Linked DNA regions of Drosophila melanogaster. Changing the gene in region 1 together with any one later gene gives a genetic interaction. Each region holds a gene or a part of one and is shown in the gene's direction. Other genes may lie near its edges.

What was found.
Region 2: of ph-d (region 1) and inv, changing one suppresses a phenotype caused by changing the other (phenotypic suppression), as found in Drosophila melanogaster (one study listed by BioGRID).
Region 3: of ph-d (region 1) and corto, changing one enhances a phenotype caused by changing the other (phenotypic enhancement), as found in Drosophila melanogaster (one study listed by BioGRID).
Region 4: of ph-d (region 1) and Marcal1, changing one enhances a phenotype caused by changing the other (phenotypic enhancement), as found in Drosophila melanogaster (one study listed by BioGRID).

Annotation. Positions count from the first base shown.
Region 1 is NC_004354.4:2,115,760-2,123,671, reverse strand, and holds the start of ph-d (polyhomeotic distal), read left to right. Parts: upstream 1-1,879; 5' UTR 1,880-1,947; coding exon 1,948-1,985; intron 1,986-2,047; coding exon 2,048-3,609; intron 3,610-3,670; coding exon 3,671-4,121; intron 4,122-4,180; coding exon 4,181-5,991; intron 5,992-6,054; coding exon 6,055-6,806; 3' UTR 6,807-7,912.
Region 2 is NT_033778.4:11,473,754-11,478,730, forward strand, and holds the start of inv (invected), read left to right. Parts: upstream 1-1,954; 5' UTR 1,955-2,222; coding exon 2,223-3,516; intron 3,517-4,977. UniProt on the Drosophila melanogaster protein: Engrailed (en) and invected (inv) are functionally redundant transcription factors in neuronal precursor cell NB5-3 specification.
Region 3 is NT_033777.3:5,082,348-5,088,591, reverse strand, and holds the start of corto (corto), read left to right. Parts: upstream 1-1,519; 5' UTR 1,520-2,566; coding exon 2,567-4,219; 3' UTR 4,220-6,244. UniProt on the Drosophila melanogaster protein: Essential protein required for proper condensation of mitotic chromosomes and progression through mitosis. Binds to specific polytene chromosome sites, many of which are shared with the posterior sex combs (Psc) protein.
Region 4 is NT_033779.5:4,953,522-4,958,821, forward strand, and holds Marcal1 (Marcal1), read left to right. Parts: upstream 1-1,987; 5' UTR 1,988-2,061; coding exon 2,062-2,828; intron 2,829-2,886; coding exon 2,887-3,377; intron 3,378-3,436; coding exon 3,437-3,587; intron 3,588-3,656; coding exon 3,657-3,821; intron 3,822-3,886; coding exon 3,887-4,169; intron 4,170-4,230; coding exon 4,231-4,425; intron 4,426-4,486; coding exon 4,487-4,702; 3' UTR 4,703-4,771; downstream 4,772-5,300. Other genes in the region: Jon25Bi (jonah 25Bi), read right to left, coding at 802-1,602; CG34124 (uncharacterized protein), read left to right, coding at 4,957-5,051, 5,109-5,271. UniProt on the Drosophila melanogaster protein: ATP-dependent annealing helicase that catalyzes the rewinding of the stably unwound DNA.

The DNA of each region.
Region 1 (7,912 bases):
GCACAGTCGGGGTGGTTGAGCACGCATACACATGCCCGCCAGCTGTAGTCTTGATTCCTGTTTTTTTTACTCGTTTTGGTTTTGCTTTGTCAACTGCTGCCGTTTCATTCCAACCCCAAGCGAACGCACGGCATCCCGCTCGCACGCGCTATCTGACCAGGGCCACTCCTAGTGGCGTCGCACTCGCACCCGTGCATTTCGGTATAGAGAAAAGTTATTAGTCGCAACGGTATCTGAGAGGAGAGAAGCGGATCCAGCTGCACACCAACACACACACACACACATTCAGCACACATGCGCTCATTTTGTTTCCGATCCGAGCAAAAGTAGAGTTGTCGCTGTAGCGCGCGGTTCAGTTTGAAACTTAACTTGGCGGCGTGCGGTTCTTGCGCTCTGCTCTCTTTGCGTTCGTGTTGGTGTGGTGTCGATGTGTCGCATACCGCATGTGTATTGAACGGGGGAAAAAAAAAGCGCCGACGCGACGCACACACACCCTACCACCGTTTCGTAGTATTTATTTATATATTTATTTTTGGCGATCAATGCAAATCGGTGCTGACTATAAGTGATTAGTGAAAACAATTAATGCTGTGCGGCGTCTAAAGTTGCGTCGTTTTGAATGTTAGGCATGTACAGGTGCCTCCAAATATACAATAATACAGTACAGCAAGGAAAGCAAAAATGAAAACGGTAAAACATATTTTTTCTGATGAGACGCTGTCGTCGGCGCATGCTCTTTGCCTGTTGTTTGCGCCGCATTGTTGTCATTGCTCCCTGCCTCTTCGTTTTCTCCTTCTCCTCTTCCTCTGTTTCTGCCTCTTGCAACTCAATTTTTGGCTAAGGGAAAAATCAAATAATGATGGCATTATTGTATGCCGCCACACGCACATGCACACACACACATGCACATATCGTGGCGCGGTAGAAAGAAACCAGTCTTTCGGTTGCAAGTTGAAGATGCTGCTGTGCCTAGGTTTATTACCCCCCTTCCAAATCCGTTCCGCTCTTAGCCTGCCGATGGAAATGGAAGCCAAAATCCACCCCCGATACACACCAAATGTAACTGAAACTCCTAACTATTATTGGTGGCGCCGGTTGCTCCTTCCGCTCCTCTGAGCCGCGGCCATTTCTTACTCCTGGACAACTGGCGACAGCATTTTGAGCGCCCAGCTTAGGTCTTTGAACCTGTCCCCTTGGATATCACCATGATGGCTTATAACCATCGCCCAAGGGCCATCCGTAAATAAAAGTGGTCTCCCTTACACCCACTCGAACTTCCTCTCTGCGTAGTAGATGGGAGGAGGTGATGGAGAAGGGGAATATGCAGCAGAGAGCAATCCTACTATAAATAGATGTTTCGGGCACAGGCAACGCTGACAAGTGACCTGCTTTAGGTGTTGGTGTGCATGCACATATGAAAAACAGTGCACTTTTAGTGGGTCACGAATCATGAACAAATTAAAATATTTATTTACCTGTTCCGTAAAAAGTACTGAATACACGGTGGGGCTAGTGTTGTACAAAGTTGTAGCTGCAATCATTTGTAATTTCCCATATAATATGTTGGTGTTTAAGCTTACCACGTCTCACCTAAACAGTATCCACTGTAAGTAAATTACCTCGTGAGTGAACGATCATCCAAAACAAAGTGTATCTCTCGTTCCCTTCTCACATTTTCGTCCCGACTTTGTTTTCGTTTTCGTTTTCTTTGGCGTTTTTGGACCCAGATCGATCCCGTCTTTGTCTTTCTCAATGGTAGTGCGTCCCTGTCGCACCCCCTTCTTTCTTTTTCTGTTCCTCGTCCCCCTTTTCGCGTTGGAGAGCAAGAGAGAGAGTCTTTGGCGGGAGTAACATGCAGTCGCAGTTTGTTGTTGTGCGGTTTGTTCGTCAAGCGCTAAGAGAATATGAATAAGAATATAAATATAAATTTAAACATGAATATGAAGCATGCCCCACGGATTCGGAGCCGCGCCAAGTGTGTCCGTGTTTGTTTGTGTTTAAAGCAATTTACTGATAGTCTGTGTGCGTTTCCTCTTTCTCTTTCCAGCAGTGGGGACACCGAAAGTGAATCAGCAACAACAATACGTACACCACCACCTTCCCCGGAAGCCACCACATCTGTAAAGGTCAACTCCACCACTCGCGTGGACCCCCAGCGGCCACTAAGGTGCCTGGAAACACTCGCCCAGAAGGCAGGCATCAGCTTCGACGAGGACTTTGCCAAGAGTCCATCCCAATCGCCCAGCTCTAAGGCAGCACGTGGGTCAGTCGGAACGCCATCAATCAGACGGCGCCACCCACTACTACCGCTCAGCAGCAGATCGCCAAGCGCACCCGACTCAAAGACAACCGGCCGCAAACTGGAGAAGTCACAGAGTCCAGCTCAACAGGTGGCGGCCGCCACCAATGTGCCGCTGCAGATCTCCCCCGAGCAGCTGCAGCAGTTATATGCAAACAATCCCTACGCCATTCAGGTGAAGCAAGAGTTTCCCACGCACACGACCAGTGGCAGTGGAACTGAACTAAAGCATGCAACCAACATTATGGAAGTTCAGCAGCAGTTGCAGCTGCAGCAGCAGCTGTCGGAAGCCAACGGTGGAGGAGCAGCCTCGGCCGGAGCCGGAGGAGCAGCTAGTCCGGCCAACTCGCAGCAAAGCCAGCAACAGCAGCACTCCACAGCCATCAGCACCATGTCGCCGATGCAATTGGCAGCGGCCACTGGAGGAGTTGGCGGGGATTGGACACAGGGAAGGACGGTGCAGCTAATGCAACCCTCCACCAGTTTCCTGTATCCCCAAATGATTGTGTCGGGAAATCTGTTGCATCCAGGAGGCCTCGGTCAGCAGCCAATCCAGGTGATCACCGCCGGCAAGCCATTCCAAGGCAACGGCCCCCAGATGCTTACCACCACGACTCAAAACGCCAAGCAAATGATCGGTGGCCAAGCGGGATTCGCTGGCGGAAATTACGCGACCTGCATTCCTTCGAACCACAATCAGTCGCCTCAGACGGTGCTCATCTCGCCGGTGAATGTCATCTCCCACTCGCCACAGCAGCAGCAAAACCTTCTGCAATCAATGGCCGCCGCAGCTCAACAACAGCAACTTACCCAACAGCAGCAGCAACAGCTTAACCAGCAGCAACAGCAGCTCAACCAGCAGCAGCAACAGCAACAGCTGACTGCCGCTCTGGCCAAGGTGGGAGTGGATGCGCAGGGCAAGCTGGCCCAGAAAGTGGTTCAGAAGGTGACCACCACCAGCAGCACGGTGCAGGCGGCGACGGGTCCTGGATCTACTGGGTCAACACAGACCCAGCAGGTGCAGCAGGTTCAGCAACAGCAGCAGCAGACCACCCAAACCACTCAGCAGTGCGTGCAGGTTTCACAGTCGACTTTGCCAGTCGGTGTGGGTGGACAGTCTGTTCAGACTGCCCAACTTTTGAACGCTGGCCAAGCGCAACAAATGCAGATCCCTTGGTTCTGGCAGAATGCGGCGGGCCTGCAACCCTTCGGCTCCAATCAGATCATCCTGCGAAACCAGCCAGACGGAACCCAAGGCATGTTCATTCAACAGCAACCGGCGACGCAGACTTTGCAGACCCAGCAAAACCGTAAGAATATTGTCATGTATATTGCATCGGATAGGTACTAAAGTCAACTATCTTCCTACAGAGATTATTCAATGCAACGTGACGCAGACGCCCACTAAGGCACGCACTCAACTGGATGCACTTGCTCCCAAGCAGCAACAGCAGCAGCAGCAGGTTGGCACTACCAACCAGACGCAGCAGCAGCAACTAGCGGTGGCTACTGCCCAGTTGCAGCAACAGCAGCAGCAACTCACTGCAGCCGCTCTGCAGCGACCAGGAGCCCCTGTCATGCCCCACAATGGAACTCAAGTGCGTCCGGCCAGTTCCGTATCCACACAGACTGCCCAGAACCAGAGCCTGCTGAAGGCCAAAATGCGCAACAAGCAGCAGCCGGTGCGCCCCGCTTTAGCCACATTGAAAACCGAAATCGGTCAAGTCGCAGGACAAAATAAGGTAGTAGGCCACCTGACCACCGTGCAGCAGCAGCAACAGGCGACGAATCTCCAGCAGGTGGTTAATGCGGCGGGCAACAAGTGAGTATTGTTTGTTTATTATCTGCCTTGTCACAGTACTTATTTTTGCATCTTTCCAGAATGGTTGTGATGAGCACAACGGGCACTCCGATCACCCTGCAGAATGGACAGACCCTTCATGCAGCCACTGCGGCAGGAGTCGACAAGCAGCAACAGCAGCTACAACTGTTTCAGAAACAGCACATCCTTCAACAACAAATGTTGCAACAGCAAATTGCTGCCATTCAAATGCAGCAGCAGCAAGCGGCTGTTCAGGCCCAGCAACAACAGCAGCAACAGGTCTCTCAGCAGCAGCAGGTTAACGCCCAGCAACAGCAAGCGGTGGCGCAACAACAACAGGCAGTCGCGCAGGCTCAGCAACAGCAGAGGGAGCAACAGCAGCAAGTTGCCCAAGCCCAGGCGCAGCATCAACAGGCTCTCGCGAATGCCACTCAGCAAATCCTTCAGGTGGCGCCAAATCAATTCATCACGTCCCACCAGCAACAGCAGCAGCAGCAACTTCACAACCAACTGATACAGCAGCAGCTACAGCAACAGGCGCAGGCACAAGTTCAAGCCCAAGTGCAGGCTCAAGCGCAACAGCAACAACAGCAGCGAGAGCAGCAGCAGAATATTATCCAGCAGATTGTGGTGCAACAGTCAACTGGAGCGACTTCTCAACAGCAGCAGCAGCAACCGCAACAGCAGTCTGGACAGTTGCAGCTTAGCAGCGTGCCGTTTTCGGTTTCACCATCGATGACGGCGGAAGATATTGCCGGAATAACATCCAGTGCCCTACAAGAAGCTCTCTCGGTGTCTGGCGCCATCTTTCAGACAACCAAACCGATTACTTGCAGTTCCTCTACGCTCCCCACAAGCAGTGTGGTCACAATTACCAGCCAGAGCAGCACTCCTCTGGTCACCAGCAGTACGGTGGCCAGTATGCAGCAGGCTCAGACGCAAGGTACTCAGATCCATCAACATCAGCAGCTAATCAGCGCCACTATTGCCGGAGGGTCTCAACAGCAGCAGCAGCAGCAGCAACTGGGACTACCTTCACTTACACCCACCACGCCCTCACCTACAACAAATCCCATTCTGGCCATGACCTCGATGATGAATGCCACCGTGGGTCACCTATCCACTGCCCCACCCGTTAGTGTTTCTAGCACCGCTGTCACTCCATCGTCTGGACAGCTGGTCACACTAAGCAGTGCTAGTAGCGGTGGAGGAGCAGGCTTTCCAGCCACGCCCACCAAAGAGACACCTTCAAAAGGGCCCACCGCAACCCTGGTGCCCATTGATTCGCCCAAGACTCCTGTATCAGGAAAGGACACCTGCACTACCCCCAAATCATCTACTCCTGCCACTGTTAGCGCATCCGTAGAGGCCAGTAGTTCCACAGGCGAAGCCCTGTCCAATGGAGATGCCTCAGATAGGTCTTCCACGCCGTCAAAGGGCGCTACCACTCCCACCAGCAAGCAAAGCAATGCAGCAGTGCAGCCACCGAGTAGCACCATTCCCAACAGTGTCAGTGGGAAAGAAGAGCCGAAGCTGACAACCTGCGGCAGTTTAACGTCCGCAACATCAACATCAACCACGACAACGATCACCAATGGGATTGGAGTAGCCAGAACGACAGCCAGCACGGCTGTCTCAACCGCTAGCACAACCACTACCAGTTCTGGCACCTTTACCACAAGTTGCACCAGCACAACCACAACCACCACGTCGAGTATCAGTAATGGATCGAAGGATCTCCCCAAGGCGATGATTAAGCCGAACGTCTTAACTCACGTCATCGATGGCTTCATCATCCAGGAGGCCAACGAGCCATTTCCCGTCACCAGACAGCGATATGCAGACAAAGACGTCAGCGATGAGCCGCCAAGTGAGTATAAACTTCTGGTACCAATGCTTTTTCGCAATCTTAACGTGTCATTCCTTCGCGCAGAGAAAAAGGCAACCATGCAGGAGGACATCAAGCTAAGTGGAATAGCATCAGCTCCAGGCTCGGATATGGTTGCTTGCGAGCAGTGTGGAAAGATGGAGCACAAAGCAAAGCTGAAACGGAAGCGCTACTGTTCGCCAGGATGCTCGAGGCAGGCAAAGAACGGCATCGGTGGAGTTGGATCAGGAGAGACGAACGGCCTGGGGACAGGTGGTATAGTTGGGGTGGACGCAATGGCATTGGTGGACAGACTGGATGAAGCCATGGCTGAGGAGAAGATGCAGACAGAATCATACCAGACAGTATCGGACGCTTTGCCAATTCAAGCGGCTACGCCGGAGGTCCCACCGATTTCGATGCCAGTGCTGGCGGCTATGTCGACATCTTCACCACTTTCGTTGCCCCTGACATTGCCCTTGCCAATTGCAATAGCTCCCACTGTGTCACTGCCAGTGGTTTCAGCTGGAGTGGTTGCGCCGGTCCTAGCAATACCATCCTCGAATATAAATGGATCCGATCGCCCTCCCATCAGCAGTTGGAGTGTGGAAGAAGTTAGCAATTTCATCCGAGAACTGCCTGGTTGCCAGGACTACGTGGACGACTTTATACAGCAGGAGATCGACGGCCAAGCGCTGCTGCTGCTCAAAGAAAACCATTTGGTTAACGCCATGGGCATGAAGCTGGGTCCAGCTCTCAAAATTGTGGCCAAGGTGGAGTCCATTAAGGAGGTCCCGCCAGGCGATGTAAAGGATTAAAAACACGCAACAAAGTCAAGGTTTCAAAAGACCGCTTTCTTTAGTTTCCCGCGTTTCACCTAAATGTAACGACATTTACTTCGTGAGCGAATGTGATCAGACAGAACAAAGTGAATCACGTTCCGACTCACCACTTCTCACAGCACGTACACCCTAATCATCAGCTACATGCACCTAATCTACAAAGGGAACTCCCCAGAGAGCAACCGGTGCCTGGAATCACTGACTCTGTTGCGAGGCCCATCCCATCCAGAATCTATGCGAGAAATCCATAATTAGGTGATGTAGTTGTTTTTCCCGCACATGACGAAAGCAAGGAATATGACCCTCCTTCGGCGCCGAAGCTGCAGCTAGTTTAAGCACCCCGATCAGACCCCAAGATTGTGGCAATAGTAGAGTCCATGACTCTGTGCGACGAAAAGGACGGGGAGGTTATAGGACCGCTGGCGCCACCGCCGTTGGATCAACAGTCTTCAGCAGTCTACCAGAGTCTGAGGATAGGAGCGGGCAGTATCCTGAGCTTCTATTTGACCATGCTGATCTCCCACGACCTTTGCATGGACCTTTGCCTACCTGTGGACCGGGTCCAACCGGGTCTGCCACCCAAGCTGAATTTGATTCACTTGAAGCGGACTTTCAATCCTTTTGTACGTAATCTAAACATAGCAAGAGGGGTAATATCGTAGCTCAAATGACAGGACGCCACATGTATGATAGAGCATAGACTGCCATCCCAGTCATCAATTCATCACTTTGTATAGAAGTTCACAATTACTCATAATCACTAACGTATTTATTTGAACGTTGTTAATCATTTCACAACACCCTATGCAAAGAACATGAAAAAATCATTTGAACTAGAGGTAATCTGGGATTATATTTACGTAGTTAGAATTAAAACTTAAGCCTGAAGTAATTCCTAAGTGAAACTGAATTGAATCCAACTAAACCTTTAATTTATTGATAAACTTAGGTCGTAATGAGTAACGTCTGAAGAATTTTTGCCTTTATTGCAAGGTTCCGAAAACGCTGTCCAACTTTTATAGATCAAATCAGTGGTCGGAGTTTAATTTTTTTTTTAGTTTTACGAAACCTTTTTTTCCTAC
Region 2 (4,977 bases), on another chromosome or scaffold:
AAAAAAAAAAAATTAAGTTAGCTGCATTTTTAAGTTACCTGCATCGAGGCATTGTGCAAAGTACTCGAGGCAGCTAAGCGAATTATACTGTATTAGGTAATGTTCGGGTCTTTAGGCAAATAAATGGTAAGGGTTAAGTGACAGAAGCTCGACTGTATGAAACTATTTTCTTGTACTCCATTCCTTTTCCTAATCATACTGCGTATAATTGTTTCTTTTGTCGAGGGCTGGAAATTAAGCCTGATTAATTCGTTTGTCGGTGCTTATACTATCGCAGTGTCGGCATCTGGCATTGGCTTCTTTGTAATGGTGCAACAAAGTTATTAAACTGGCTTGGATTGCTTTGCATTTCGGGGCGTGGTTCCACCAATACGATTCGAAGCGATAATAAAGCGCGGACAGCCCGAAAAACTCCATGATTCGGGCTTTATGGGTTCAACAGCAGCGATAAAAAGATCGCTGGAATTCCGATATTTTATGTCCAATCTGTCGGCGATAACGGAGAAAAGGTGCAACTTTGATAGTCGATTTCAGATATGAAATATGATACATTAACCGATTTCGGCTGTGTCACTAAAGAGGTCCGCAGCAAATGATGCAAATGAATGCAGCCATTCCTAGAAATCTTTTCGTGGACTACAACAAAGTTTTCTGATTTAATTAAAAGAGTGATCGGCATGCCCTGCACAACCTCACTTCAAACAAGGCAAACTCGTTTTCACCCCACACATGACACACACAAAAATGTCTCAAATACTTGAAAGGAAAGCTAAATACAGATTTATGAGCACAAAGCACAGCAACAATGCAGTATGTTCGCCAATTAGACAAGCCCAAGCAAACGTATGTCAAATTTTCATTGGCGGGAGAAGGGGCTACTTAAATTGGTCAGGAATGGAGGATAATTTCCATAGTACATGAACGAAGTGACTTAAATTCTAAAAATAATGTCTTATGTAAGTAATCATGAATATCAAAGTTTGATTTTTTTATTGATATCAGATTGATTAGCTTGTGGGACCAAATTTAAATTACAATTATTTTGGCATTACTAAGAGGTCTTTAAATGCCGGACAAGGTGTTCAGTAGAAACCCAGCAAGCTGATCATTATCCCCCCAGTGCTTTTGAATCTACGCCCATGATTAAGCGTATGCAATTGCACACGTATTGGTATTCATTTACGCAGAACTATCATCAATGTTGTCCGATGGGATGTGTGAAGGCAAAACGACAACAAACAATAAAACGGCGACAAAAAAGCATCAAAAGCAATTATGAAATCACGGCAGATGTTGGGGCAACAAAAATTGTGGTGGTGATTTATAAAGCGCAGCTAACAACAACAATGACATCAAAAAGCGCAAAAATGTTCGTTGTATCGGAGCAACAAGAACAATAAGTAAAAGGAAGCGAAGGAGTGAAGGAGACGGGGAAGCTGTGGCATGTGTTGTATATAAACAGGCACACACTCCATATGTGTGTGTGGGTATATAATGCTGGACGGCGGATAGGATGCCAGCAAAAAAGGACTGCAGATGCCAGACCGCAAAGAGGAGCGAAAGAAAGGGGGAGTGAAGTGATGATGATGGAGGAGGAGGGCGAGAGCAGCCTACATAGAGTGAGATTTACGACTTAAATGCTGCAGCGCATAATCAAAACGACAAGGCGCAGATGGAAATGGAGTGGAGTTCTTATCCCTATTTTCCTTCTTTTTCGCTTTTTTCTTTTTGCGGCGACGACGCACTTAATTAACAAATATACAAACACTTAACATAACCTCAACTGACAGGCGGCTGACCGTGTGCGCGAGCGGGACAACAGTAGGGCACGCCCCGCAGCCGCTGATTGGATGTTCGAAAAGCCAGAGCAGGACGGAGAGTGAGAGAGAGCGTGTGCGAGAGAGAGTTCTCTTTTTGAATCGGCTCTCAGCTGCAGCCGTCTCGCTTTGCTATTCAGTTCGCGAGAGAATCAGTTGGTCGGCGGTTCGTAACAGCGCACGTTACGTTTTTAACGGACGAGCGGATTAACGTCGGTATCGACAAGTTTATCACCCAACCCAAAAACCAATTGTCAATCGAAGACGATAGCGCGGCGTATTTGCCAATCCAAGTGATATCTTTTGGCTGTGGTTAATGTTTTTAATGCTTTCTGGCTGCCCTGAAATGCCGTCGGCTTTTGGTCCCTGTGAACTTTCGAGCTGAAGACCTAAGCCCTCAAACTGATGTCCACCTTGGCCAGCACTCGACCGCCCCCGCTCAAGCTGACTATTCCTTCCTTAGAGGAGGCAGAGGACCACGCGCAGGAGAGGAGAGCGGGCGGAGGTGGCCAGGAAGTAGGTAAAATGCATCCGGATTGCTTGCCCTTGCCGCTTGTCCAGCCGGGCAACTCGCCCCAAGTGCGGGAGGAGGAGGAGGACGAGCAGACGGAGTGCGAGGAGCAGCTGAACATAGAGGATGAAGAGGTCGAGGAGGAGCACGATTTGGACCTGGAGGATCCGGCCAGCTGCTGCAGTGAGAATAGTGTCTTGAGTGTGGGCCAGGAACAATCGGAAGCAGCACAGGCTGCGCTATCCGCTCAAGCTCAGGCCAGGCAGAGGCTTTTGATCAGCCAAATCTATCGACCGTCGGCATTCAGCAGCACTGCTACCACTGTTTTGCCGCCCAGCGAAGGTCCGCCCTTCTCACCCGAAGATCTCCTGCAACTGCCTCCCTCCACTGGAACCTTCCAGGAGGAGTTCCTGCGAAAGTCCCAGCTGTACGCCGAGGAGCTGATGAAACAGCAGATGCATCTAATGGCCGCCGCCAGGGTGAACGCTCTCACGGCAGCGGCGGCGGGAAAACAGCTGCAAATGGCAATGGCGGCGGCGGCGGTTGCCACAGTGCCCAGCGGTCAGGATGCACTGGCTCAGCTGACGGCCACGGCATTGGGTCTGGGACCCGGTGGAGCGGTGCATCCCCATCAGCAATTGCTACTGCAAAGGGATCAGGTCCACCACCATCATCACATGCAGAATCACCTGAATAACAATGAAAATCTGCACGAAAGGGCGCTCAAATTCAGCATAGACAATATCCTGAAGGCGGACTTTGGTTCCAGATTGCCCAAGATTGGTGCTTTAAGTGGCAATATCGGTGGTGGCAGTGTAAGTGGGAGCAGTACTGGCAGCAGTAAAAATTCTGGAAATACCAATGGCAACAGATCTCCCCTAAAGGCGCCCAAGAAGTCGGGAAAGCCACTGAATCTGGCTCAAAGTAACGCCGCCGCCAACTCGAGCTTGAGCTTCTCCAGCTCGCTGGCGAATATATGCAGCAACAGCAACGATTCCAATAGCACCGCCACCAGCAGCAGCACGACGAACACCTCGGGGGCACCAGTGGATCTGGTCAAGTCGCCACCGCCAGCGGCAGGAGCGGGTGCCACAGGAGCATCCGGTAAATCGGGCGAGGATTCCGGCACTCCCATCGTTTGGCCAGCGTGGGTCTACTGCACCCGCTACAGCGATCGTCCCAGCTCAGGTGAGTCCAAGTCTCTTTAAAAATTTTGCTTCAGTTATCTAAGTTGTCTAGCGAAACATAAGTACAAATATTGATGAAATAATATTGTATATTTCTACGTTTAACGTACTTTTTATGAACTTTGTGAATGCAAATATAGTTTATGAAATTACGTTTTGGTGTTTTGAATACTAATCTTCATAAGCTTGAAAGAAAAGCCTTTGGTTTCAAGTTTTCTCGTTAACATACGATTCTCCAGCACCATGCCAGTATTATTATAGATATTCTGTAGTAGATCCTGGCAAAATTTATTTACTTGCATATGTTTCTATGGATATTTCCTGCATTTTCTAAAGCATCTTACATCTTATGCTAAAGCAGTGCACTGCTAGTCACTCACTCTTTCTCCAAACTCAAACACACTCGAGGAGACGAGCTGTTGAGTGGTGGCTCATAAAGCGGTTGTGCAAACAAGCGACAGACACCACAGAAGAGCCGGCGAACGGAGCCAAACCACAGCAACCCACAGCTCATTAGTTTGCCAACCACCGAAATGAAGTGAGTGCGAGCGAAAGGGAGGCGAACACTCACCCCGAAGTGAAGTGTCTGCTCGAGTGGTTTTCATGTCCTTATGGCTTATGTAACATAACTTAAGCTCATTATGCCGCTACACCCCACCCACCCCGTGTGTGTTTTTGTGTGTGCAGCACCACCCCAACCCGTCGAGAACAACCCCAAAACAATCTCCCAGCAATCATGGCACTCTCATGAATTTAGTTTATGCCACCGCAGGGAATTCGTAATCGTTTGCCTAATAATTTCATGGCTGAAATTTGGGGGGGAATCGGATGGGTGGGAGTGCCCCATATGCTCATTTATGGGGTGGCTTATTGCTGTTTGAACAAGCAATTCGGATTCCTTGATAGTTTTTGGCTAATCCCCTGGAATCTCGGGTAAGTCCATGGATCATGTGGTTCAAGTGGCGAATGGAGAGTGATTTAAGCCACTTGATGGCAGTCATTTGGTTAAGGTGTTTACCTTTATTAGCTTGCTCAGCTAGTTTATTATCGGTAATGAATTGCCAAAGGTTTACTCAATAGACTGAATGCATTTTATCACAGATACTTGATATTATAACACAATATTAAAACGTTTAAGACCTTACTAAACTTTGGTGTTCAACAGAGTAGTTGACAATAGCATTATTCAATTACAATATCAGCCTTAAATGGGCATATAATTACGAGAGTTACTTTATCTTTAACTAGTTAAATTTAATTGCTTTATTAAGTATCATTGAATGCAATTTGTAAGATTGCCGAGCTCAGCTGTTTAAGCACTTACGACAGTTTTTAGCCAATTATCCACACGTTTTATAGATCTTAATACACCAGCTTGAAGAAAGTAACGTTGAAATATCAGTAAATAATTGTAATTCATCCATCAAAAGTCGTCCCTTCTAACTACCTGATTCCCAATTAC
Region 3 (6,244 bases), on another chromosome or scaffold:
CAAACCAGACTCCAAAAACCATCCACAATCCCAGATGCAATGAAGACAATTCATTAACAAAACCATGGCAACAACAGTAGAAAAGCAGGAAATCATTAAGGCTATCAAACAATAGTATCCATTAACTTGTATACATGCACCAATCATGTTCTTTCTTAAGAGTCTTAGAATAATTAGCACATAATACGAATTATTAGTTTTTAGTAGACAATAAGAAGCATTAGTTTTACTTTTTGGATTAAAAGACATGCTTCAATGCAAATCCGCCACATAGGTTTTCATTTTACTTGCACATCGAATAGCAACAACACTGAAATGCAATGGCAACTTGACAGCAACAACTTTCAGCCCCACAACAACAACAGCTGCAACAGCGATTCCAACAAACATATGCTTTGAGAAAAAAAAAAACAAATATGTACCAAGAGAGACAGCCAGACTCACCAACACACTCGCACGCGGACACACCTCCCCAAATAACAAAACAGCTGATTTGTTATCAGCAGTTGCTGAATGAGCCCCACAGAGCGAGCCACTCTCTTGCAGCAACAACAAAATGGGGGGAAAAAAACGACGCCAACGGCGGCTGCTATGGCAACGACCTTCCTTATTTATTACAATGTGTGTAATTCCCAGCCGTTTTCTCACTCTCTCTCGCTCTCTCGCTGTGTGTGTGCGAGCGAGACAGTGCCCTTTCCTGACTTAAATTGCCCATTTTTTAGTACAGAAATGTTTAATATCGCTGTCTGTTTGAGTTTTTGCAATTTGTTTTCCTTTTTTGGTCTGCAGAAAGTCTCTCAGTGCGCAGTTTAGCTTTCGTATTCCAAAACCGGAGAGGTTCTTGGGGTATTTGTTGTATTCTTATATTAAGGAACTACGTAGGTGTGTTCGAAGTTGCGTCGCAGAGGATTTTTAGGCAGTTGTGTGGAGATCACACTGCTTATGTTGATATTATATGGGTTTTAAGTTTTAGGGGTGTACCAAAGTGCTCAGAAATACATAAGTAAAAATAACCCATTCCCATTTTAACCAGGTGATGCTGATAGATTCATTCAACTCCCCGTTTTTAGTGCGGCTCAATTAGCTCTCAACTCGCCGTTAACCCCTTTAGAACCCATCTGCTTTTACGACCCCATAAAGCTGCTCCCAAAAATGCGTTTGCCGTAAAAAATTAAAGCACTAAAACGGTTAAAGACATCGTATTACAAAATAATGTGCGCTCTCTCGCTCTTTTCTCGCCTCTTTGTCTCTCTCTGTCTCGACCAAAGCAGTTGTAAAGATGGCCGCCGTGTAGTAACATGGCTGAATGTATACCACACACACACACGCAGGCACAGAGAGAGCGGTCACAGAGAGGGAGAGAGAGCGGCCATTGAATGCAATTTATATAGGAAAGCAACAATAACAATAACTCTGCGCTCGTCTCCTGCGACTGTGTGTGTGCTGAATACGTCACGGAACATCAGCTGTGCCGAACAGCAGGTAGGCGTCGGCAGAATGGAGCGAAGACGACGTTTCGAGTCAGTCGCTTCAAAGAGCTCGATTCGTGCGGACATAGGAGGAGATAAAGCGTGGTCTGTGGCACGTAATTAACGAAGAAGAGAGTTAAGAAGATTCAACGTCGCGTCGAAGGTGAACACGCAGTTAAAACCCAAAAACAAACGCAACGCAGCCAATTGTGATACGAAAAATAAGTAAATCGGCAGACAATCAACAAAAACAATAAAAGCAAAGCCTACACACAGGCGTAGGCGTCTAGCCAACAGCTGTTTTTCGTGCGCGCTCCGTATTCAGCATACTCGCTGCGCTTACAAACGTCGGCAGAGACCGCGGCAGAGAAGCAAGCGGCGGCAGCAAAACTACAAAGCAGAAACTACAATTCAGATCGCGTTTTTCTTCGGAGTGGATGAGACGTTCGTTCGGCAGTTCTATTGCGCATAGAACTAACAAGTTACCTACTCCGCGAACTCACCCCCGCGAGAAAAGAACAGAACAGAGCATAACCGAATGGAAAGAAGACAAGGAGTAGCTAAAAAGCAACGGTTAAGTTAGCCAGCAAAAACGGGCAAAAAGACTGAAAACACACGTGGATTGTTCACTCACCCCGACACGCGCACCCACTCGCACTCACACTCACCCAGCAGCTCCAACTGTTCGCTGCATTTATGTAAAACCAAACAAAGACTGACTAAAACGCTAATAAATATACAATAAACGTAACGAAACAAAGTTAAACACGCGAACAGCAGCTAATATTATACGGGTTAAAGCGAATTCCAAAGCAAAGCAAACACACATATGGATTAAGGTTCCTCCTATCTCAAAACACAAAAACAAAAGCAACAACCAACTCACGGATTACCTGCAGCGGCAAATTTACCGTTAGCCGCTCTTTTTGGATTACCAGTGCCAATAAAACCACAAAAGTGAATTTTTTCGAAAGTGAAGAAAGCGAAAAACATCCGCAAAATGATAAAAATCTAAATCTAAGTAAATAAGCAAACCAAAAGCGAATTCTGTGTTACCGAAACGAGAGCAAAAGCTAAAAGATCCCCTGAATACAGCAATGACGATGGCCGCCTGTTATGCCAACTACGACATGTCGTCCCTGTCGCACGGCATGTCGGCCCTGTCCGCCCTGCAGCAGCAACAGCAGCAGCAACAGCAGCAGCACAGCCAGACGCAGCAGCAGCATCATCACCAGCAGCAGCAGCAACACATGTACCACGCCGCCGTGGCTGCCCACCAGCAGCAGTTGCTGCAACAGCAGCAGCAGCAGCAACACCACCGCCATCACCACCAGCCCGCCAACACCAGCAGCAGCAGCAACTCGCGCCACAGCCATGCGGCGGCGACCCAAACGCAGGTCGCCGCCGCGGTTGCCAACAGCAGACAACAACAACAACAGCAACAACAGCAGCAACAGCAGCAGCAGCAGCAGCAGACTGCCAGCAGCAACAGCAACGCAGCCCCCGCTCCATCGCCGCAGAAGGACTACAGCATCCCGCTGCACGTGGACTGCAGCGTGGAGTACGAGCTGCCCAACCAGCCCAAGCCGCCGGCGGGCCAGAGAGTGGAGCCCCTGCTGATGATCCACCCGTGCTACTTCCGCAAGATGGAGTCGCAGCGGCGCAGCCCGTTCGTGAACAACATGCATGCGACCGCGCGGGCGGTGAGCAGCAGCTCGCTGAGCAGCGGAGCGGCCCTGGGCGGAGGCGGAAGCGGTGCGGCGGTGGCCACGGCGCCCAGCAGTAGTGCCGCGCGGCGTGGAGCCCGGGCGGCTACGAGCGCCCAGCAGCAGCAACAACAGCAGCAACGCTACCAACAGCAACAGCAGCAACTGCGGCAACAGCACCAGCAGATGTCGCAGATGTCGCAGCAGGCCCACTATCCCCAGCAACAGTCTAGTCTGGTCCGCCAGCACCAGCAGCAGCAACAGCAGCAGCAGCAGCAGCAACGTGCCAGCAGCAACCAAAGCCAACGCCAAAGCCAAAGTCAGAGCCAGAGCCAGAGCCATGCAGCCAACTCAGCGGCGGCAGCTGCGGCCCAGGCCTCGATAGCCGCCGCAGCCGCCGGCCAGTGGGATCAACTGGCTGCGCTGGCCGCCCGCACCGCCCTCACGCCGCACCACATGCTGCATCCCCACAGCCACTACGCGGCCAAGGGTAGTGGCGGCGGAGCAGGGGGCGGGAAGCGGGACGCCATGATCTCCGGCAGCTACGGACAGACGGCGGTCGCCTCGGGGAAGCTGCAACAGTCGCAGGTGCAGCAGCAGCAGCCACAGCAGCAACAGCAACACTGCCTGCCTCCGCCGCCGTGGGACGCGACGTCCATGCTGATGGACCGCTCGCCGATGGCCACAGTTCCTAGCAATTATCAGGCCGGCCCTGACACCAATCCCATGCGCCTCTACTCGGCCACGCCCACCGCCGGAGCGGCCTCGGGCGGGTCGGCGTCGGTGGGCGGAGGCGGGGCGGTGAGTGGTGCGGGGGCGACGGGAGCAGTGAACACGGCCACCGACAAGTTGAGCGGAAAGTACCGCCAGTACTTGCGGTCCCAGCGGATGCACCCGTACGCGGCGGCCGCCTCGCTCAACTTGGCAGCCGCCGCCGCTGCCGCCGGCCAGACCTCGTTTGTGCCGTTCAGTTCGGCGGCCACGGCGGTGGCGGCCACGCCCACATTCCAGCACCTGCCGCAGATCTCCTGCTACAACGTGTGATGCAGCACCAGCAGCAACCAGGACAACGGCAACATCAGCAGCAGCAACAGCAACTTGCAACACATGAGACAGGCGCCTACCAAGTACGCGTCGATGAAATAGCCGCCTCAAGGAATAATTAATAGATCCTCCCCTAAAACAGTACTATATATACACACCCATCAAAGCTTTTAGAATCAAAAGTAATTAACTCTAAAAATATTAAGAGATGAAACAAAATTCTGTCTAGCTGCTATGAGAAATTGTTGTCCGACGGTGAGAAAAGAGGAAATGAGCGATCTTTTTTTCTTTTAGTAATGGTAGTAATTGATAAACGATACAAAAACAAACAACAACAAAAAAAAAAAATGCAAACTATTGTAGTGATATTTGTTATAAAATAATTTTAGTAATTAATTTAATTTAAATTAAACAACCAACAAGAAACAACAGCAACCGCTCTGTGTAAGCCAACCACATAAACAATAACAACTGCAACAACGGCAAAAACAAGAACTGCAACAACAACAACAACGGCAGCAACATTAAACAAAACAATTGCTAAAAGTTACACATACGCATATTTAATTACAAATCAGCAAAATGTTACAACAACCATTTACCGAAAGAATACGAAAATATGAAAGGAAAATTATTACCAAACGATGGAGAGAGAAGAGTAAAGCAGAAAAAAGCAACACAAAAAATACGAATAAAAATTATTCAAAATTATGCAACGTAATTTGAAGCGAGATATGCAAAAATTAAGTAAATTGTGTTTTCAATTAACGTAGCGAGCAAGAAAAGCATAGTTCAAGTGATTTGGCCGCGGCAAGGAAAACTCCCCTTGCCGTCGGCTTTTGTGGCCAACTTTTCACACTTCCCACCACCACCGACCGACTAACTCCTCTTTCTGTTCGCCTTGATTCGATTTTCATCTTCGCTCCCTTTGTTTCCTCATTCTGCTCCGCCTCATGGCCTCCTCCTCTGCGGTGAGCCGTGATTGATTATTGTCATTGATGGAGGACCGGGCAGCGGGTTGGGGTGACCTCGGCGCACAGCACAGGGGTCCCTCGCTAATGGCAAACCGTTGAGCTGAGACGAATTTCGAAAACTTACAGGGCTCCGATTTATGGCTAGACATGAGGACGTCTCTTGAAATTTCACTATTAATATCTTATACTTAGATACTTATATACTATTTAATGTATTTGAGCCAGCTGTTGAAGGACTAAATCTGGCAACACACTACGATATCGAGAGATGTTGATTTCCACTCTATGTACATATATGTGTTCCACGACGTCGGTTATTTCGCTTTTACGCCTTTGTTTTCGATTAGAAGTTTAAATACGTTCTTGTTCACGCCACCAGCGGCCTCACTGTACTTACCTTTCAAAGACCAGCATTCTCGAAGTTCATTCGTTACAGTGATATAACCGAACTGCCTTTGCCTTCAGTGCTTACGGCTCTAATTTTGGTCTTTGTTGCGAGGTGAAAACGCAGCAAAATCTAATGGTTTCGAGTGGCCAGGAAACGCGAGATGTTATCAGCTGAAATTGTTTTTGCTCGCCCCCAAGGTCCCTCGGGAAAGTGTGTGCTTTCATTACTGATTGCATGTCGAGGCGATTGGCGCGGTTCCATGGGAGTTGCTGGGTTCCGGAAAGCAAATAGCTGAGTAATTTATGCATGGGCAGGAAAACCCGCTGAGGATTCAGCGCGCCATTAAGCCAATCGTCGAATTAATTAAGCCAAAAAAGAGTTTTCAACTGAAATGAACGACATCCGCTGCCGGGGGACCGGCACTGACTCATCTGTCCGCTTTAGGCTGCCCTACATCCAAACAAGTCCGACTCTACTCCACGACCATGCGGTCGCAATCCACTCGAGATTCAAGAAAGAAAAGACTTTAGTCCAATTGCAGAACGACGGAACCATTGCAGGAATTTGTGGGACCAGTTTAGACGCATCGGTTAGTCGAAGAAATGGCCAGACCACATATTAATCCATAACTTATTCAACATACAAGTCATTTCATTAGGAAAA
Region 4 (5,300 bases), on another chromosome or scaffold:
AGAGATTAGGGCACACGTCCTGTGGTCATTCAAAAGTAGTATTACAGTATAATTCGCTTAGCTGCATCGATAGTTAGCTGCATCGGCAAGATATCTGCATTATTTTTCCATTTTTTTGTGTGAATAGAAAATAGAAAATAGAAAAAAAAAAATTAAGTTAGCTGCATTTTTAAGTTACCTGCATCGAGGCATTGTGCAAAGTACTCGAGGCAGCTAAGCGAATTATACTGTACTTAACGTTCGTAAGTGCGCTACATTGTTTAGGTTTTAATATTAAACGCACTCCCATTAAAGTTATTAAAATTAAAATTTAAAACAATAAACTAAACATTTACAAGTAAAAAGTGAAATATTTTAAAGACGAAAGTTGTATTATTTTTTAGAAATATATTTCATATATTTAATAAATATATCACTTCGCTTTTGTGATTTGTCAGTATAATAATCCTTTGGAATATATAATCTTTTGGTAAATATATATATTATTTCATTATCTGATTATTGACTAGTATAGACCACAGTTGCTAGTATTCCTACTTATGTCTATCATGGCTACATATATAGTGTTTAATCATGTTTTCCAGATAACAAGTGTTCGATTGCCAAGAAACCATCCCATTTCTTAGCCATTCATGGCTTCTTATCTATAAGACGTTTATTATAGATTCGGATTCTGCATGACTAGACTTTTGAAACTTAAAAATATCCATGTGATTTTTTAAATGTAATAAAACCAGAAACATAAAGGCGTCAAATTAATTGTTATGCATTTCGTTTATTTAAAAATAAAGATAATCAAGCTTAGTAGTAAGCAACGCCGGAGTTGTCGCGGATCCAGTCCAGCTGGTTGGTAACACGGGTGAATCCGGAGGGCAGGCCAGCGGTGCAACCGTTGCCGGAAACCCAGGAGGTGACACCCACCAGGCGGCCACCGTCGTGGAGAACCAGGGGGCCACCGGAGTCACCGGAGCAGGTGGACTTTCCGCCGGAGGTGGACACACAGAGGATGCCATCGGGCTGGGTGCCGTAGGTGCGGGAGCATTCCGAGTTGCTAATGATCTGCAGGTCGACGCACTCCATCCAATCGGGCTGGGATCCGGCGGTGGTCAGTCCCCAACCGCAGGCGACGGCCCAATAGTTGTCGTACATGTTGTAGCGATCGTTGAAGCTGGGCAGCTCCACCTTGTTAACCATGTGCCAGAAGTCCACGTGGGGGGTGCGGATCAAGGCGATGTCGTTGCCGTTCTGGTTGGGCCAGTTGTGGTTCTGGATGAAGTCGCCGCTGCCGACGGTGTGGGTGAACTGGGCGTTGGTGCGCCAGGTGGCTCCGTAGTAGATGGTCACCTGGGAGGCGCCGTTGGTGCAGTGAGCAGCAGTCAGGACCCAATCGTGGGCGATGATAGAACCACCGCACCACCAGCCGCCGTTGCCGCTGAAGCCCAGACCCACGGTGTAGGGAGCCTTGCCCTCGTAGGCTGGATATCCGTTCACAATGCGGCCATTGATCTTGGTGTCCTTGGGCAGGTCCTTGGGATGAACCTGCTGGACAGTCTCGGCGGAGACAGCGGCCAAAGCCAGAGCCAGTACAACGAACACTTTCATGGTGATTGGATCAATCGTGGTCTGCGCCAGACTTCCATCCGTTTTTATTGCGCCCCTTATCGCTGTCTGGAGTAGCCCCCACTCGGCGTTATCCTATCTCTAAGAAATTCGCCCTCTGATACCAATGGAAATTAATTGATAGCACGTCTAAGAACATCTTGATAGGCAAAAAAAATAATAACTCGCTTTTAGGAAAAATTCTAAGCTGATTATCTTCGCTTACAACCGACGTAGGCAATATAAGAAAACAGAAATGATTTTAATTTAATTTAAGGACTAAATAATTTATACATAATATATACATAATAATGTATACATAGAGTATGTAAAATGTAAAAATAATTTAAAATAGGCGCCCAATGTAAGATGTAAGGATTGAAAAATGGCTCACCTGGTCACACAGAGCCATGCATTTATTGTTTATATATTCCGCCAAATTTTATCAATTGATGTCGCAGCATGTCCACTTGCAGTTCATCCGAGATAGCGGAGAAGAAGCGCATTGCGCTGGCCAAATTGCAGGCCAAGAAATCCCAGCTGCTGGCCAGCGCACCCGCAACCAATGGAAAATCAACAACGTCTGCAACAGGTGCGACGCAACATGCGAATAATGGAAAATCAAATCCCAATCAACCGCAGGCCAAATCCCCATTGAATTTCTACCGATCACCGACGGGGGAGCAGAAGAAGATCAACAGGAGCGGTCCCACGCCCGGTGACAACAAGAGCTCATCCTTTCTGAACGCTCTGAAAGCAATCAAACAGACATCCAACCGGGAATTGTCCCGCGGAGCAGCACATCCTTACCAGCGGCCAAATGGAGGGAACGAAAGAAACAAGCCCACTCTTTCACTGAGTTCGGATAAGGAGAAACCGGTGGCTGTGCTACTCGGAAACTCCATCACGTGTAATCTCTACTTGATCAGCACACATCGGTTTGCTGCCCAAACCTCAGGATATCACGAACAGCTCGTGACCGTGTTCAAGAACATGCCCACCAAGTGCTACGATGGCCAAACCCGTATCTGGAGTTTCGATCTGTCGGACTACCAATCCCTGAAAACTCATGCAGCGGATCTAAAGCCATATGTTCACATGAATGGCATTCCGAAGAAGGTGCTGGATCTCTGCGGCCAGCCGCCAGTAGTTCCGGAAAGAAGTGTTTTAGCTTCCATAGAACCGAAGCTGGCGGACCAGCTAATGCCCTTCCAACAGGATGGGGTATGGTAAGCATTGCTTGTATGCTATGTACTTCCAAAAGCGCTAAATTTATCATATGTTTAGCTTTGCCATAGCCCAAAAGGGACGCATTATGATCTGTGATGAAATGGGCCTGGGCAAAACCTATCAGGCCTTGGCCGTAGCCGACTATTTCAAGGATGATTGGCCCTTGCTTGTCTGCACCACCGCTTCTACGAGAGACAGTTGGGCGAAACACATAATGGATCTACTGCCGAAGGTGCCCATCCACTATGTCCAGGTGCTGAACAACAATCAGCTATATGTGGGTGAGGCCAAGGTGCTAATCACCAGCTACAATATGATGGAGCGACACGAAGATAAGCTGATGCAGCGGAAGTTTGGTTTCATCATCTTCGACGAGTCGCACACGCTGAAGAACAGCAAGGCCAAGTGCACGACAACGGCCAAAAGACTCACGGATCAGGCGAAGCGGGTGGTTTTGCTATCCGGCACACCGGCTCTCTCCCGGCCATTGGAACTTTTTACGCAACTGCAAATGATTGATGGCAAATTCATGAATTTCATGGAGTTCAGTATGTCAAGAATGTCTGTTTACCTTAGAACGCGCTTATATCGATTAACACATTCACAGCTACTCGTTATTGTGATGGAAAGCAGTCAACTTTTGGTTGGGATGCCAATGGTCAATCGAATTTGGAGGAACTGAAGGTCATACTTCACCTTAAATATATGCTGAGGCGAACGAAAGTGGAGGTGCTGCCTCAACTCGCTGAGAAGAACCGGTGGGTTGTTCACATTGTTGTATATCTATAATATATTTTCTAACATTTCGAACATTCTTCCATCCGCAGTGAGACTGTCGTCCTGGATCCCGCCCTAGTGTGGACCAATGCGGAGACCAAGGAAACCTTGGATGCGTTTAACAAAGAGCTTAAAACCGCTAAAGGCAGGGCAACGGAAGAGATCTTACTCCGTTTCTATGCACGCACTGCCGAAGTGAAAACTCGAGCGGTCTGGTAATAAAAAAAATCATTAAAACCATATAAACCATCTGAAGTTAATGTATTATCCTGCATTATAGCGCCTACCTAAAAACCTTAGTTAAGGAGCAGAAAAAGTTCATTATCTTTGCCCACCATCGTGTCATGATGGACGCCATTAGCGACTTCCTCAGTGGATTGAAAGTACACTACATACGTATTGATGGACAAACGCGTAGCGATCACAGGTCGGATTCTGTGGACACGTTCCAAAAGAAGAGCAGTTGTAAGGTGGCCCTGCTCTCCCTAAAAGCCTGCAATTCAGGAATAACGCTAACTGCAGCTGAGATCATAGTGTTCGCTGAACTGGACTGGAATCCTAGCGTAAGCTTCGCTTATATGTTAACTTGGAGAACGCTTAAATTTAGTTTTATTTTATGTGCAGACTCTTGCCCAGGCGGAGAGCCGTGCCCATCGCATTGGTCAGACAAAACCGGTGATTTGTCGCTATCTGATTGCTCACAATACGGCAGACGATATAATCTGGAACATGCTGAAAAATAAGCAAGAGGTGCTTAGTAAAGTGGGCATCTTTGCCGAAAATCTTCAGAAAGCAACACACACAGCAGCACCCACTTCAGTAAGATACATTTTGAATACTTTGAAAAATGTATTTTTCGCTAACTCAACTTTTTTTTTAGTCCCACAAGATCGAGGAGTACTTCTCGCCCTCCACGTCCACCTCCCTTGAACCGGAAAGGAATAGCATAAAACAATATTTTTCAACTATTCCAGCTAAAGAGCCGCCTGAGCAAAATAATAATACAGAAATGACCAAAGTAAACAAGGCTGAGTCGGATATCGCGGCGTTCTTTAACGATGATGATGATGAGGCTTTTTTGGAATTAGATATTTAGATTGTGTAATGGAATTTAATCCTAGAATGTTTATTGAGTTAATCGTAATAAATTGTATTTGAGAATGTTATAGCATTGAATGAAACTTGTTGAACGCACTTCTGCGCATGCTCCACGTTTGCAGAACTCTTTTCAGATAGCCGGTTTCATGTGACCTGGCAACAGGCAAACAAACACTCAAGTAAACCTTTTCACTTGTATCAAATAAATAAATACACAGCAAGTTAAGTTTTGTACAATAATAGCTAAATAATATGGATACTACGCAGGAATCTGATCTGCTGGGCGAAGAGGAGGAGTTGGAGAATGAGAACGACGTATCCTTTCCGCGTGATATCGTCAGTGTAGAGTGAGTACGGAATTGGAAGTTGATAACTTTTTCTTGATTGGAAAACTTCTGCTGCAGACACTCCTTTGGTTACGATTGTAAGAAGCTGTTTAATTTGGTCCTTGTGGATTCAGACACGCTGGTTTTTGCCTCTGGAAACTTCCTCAACTACTTTAGCATTTCGCGCCAGGAGATTTCCTTTCAGGAAACGGTCTACGGCTGCGGAGTGGGCTTTATAACGGTGAGCTTTTTAGTACCTTTGAGTACCTT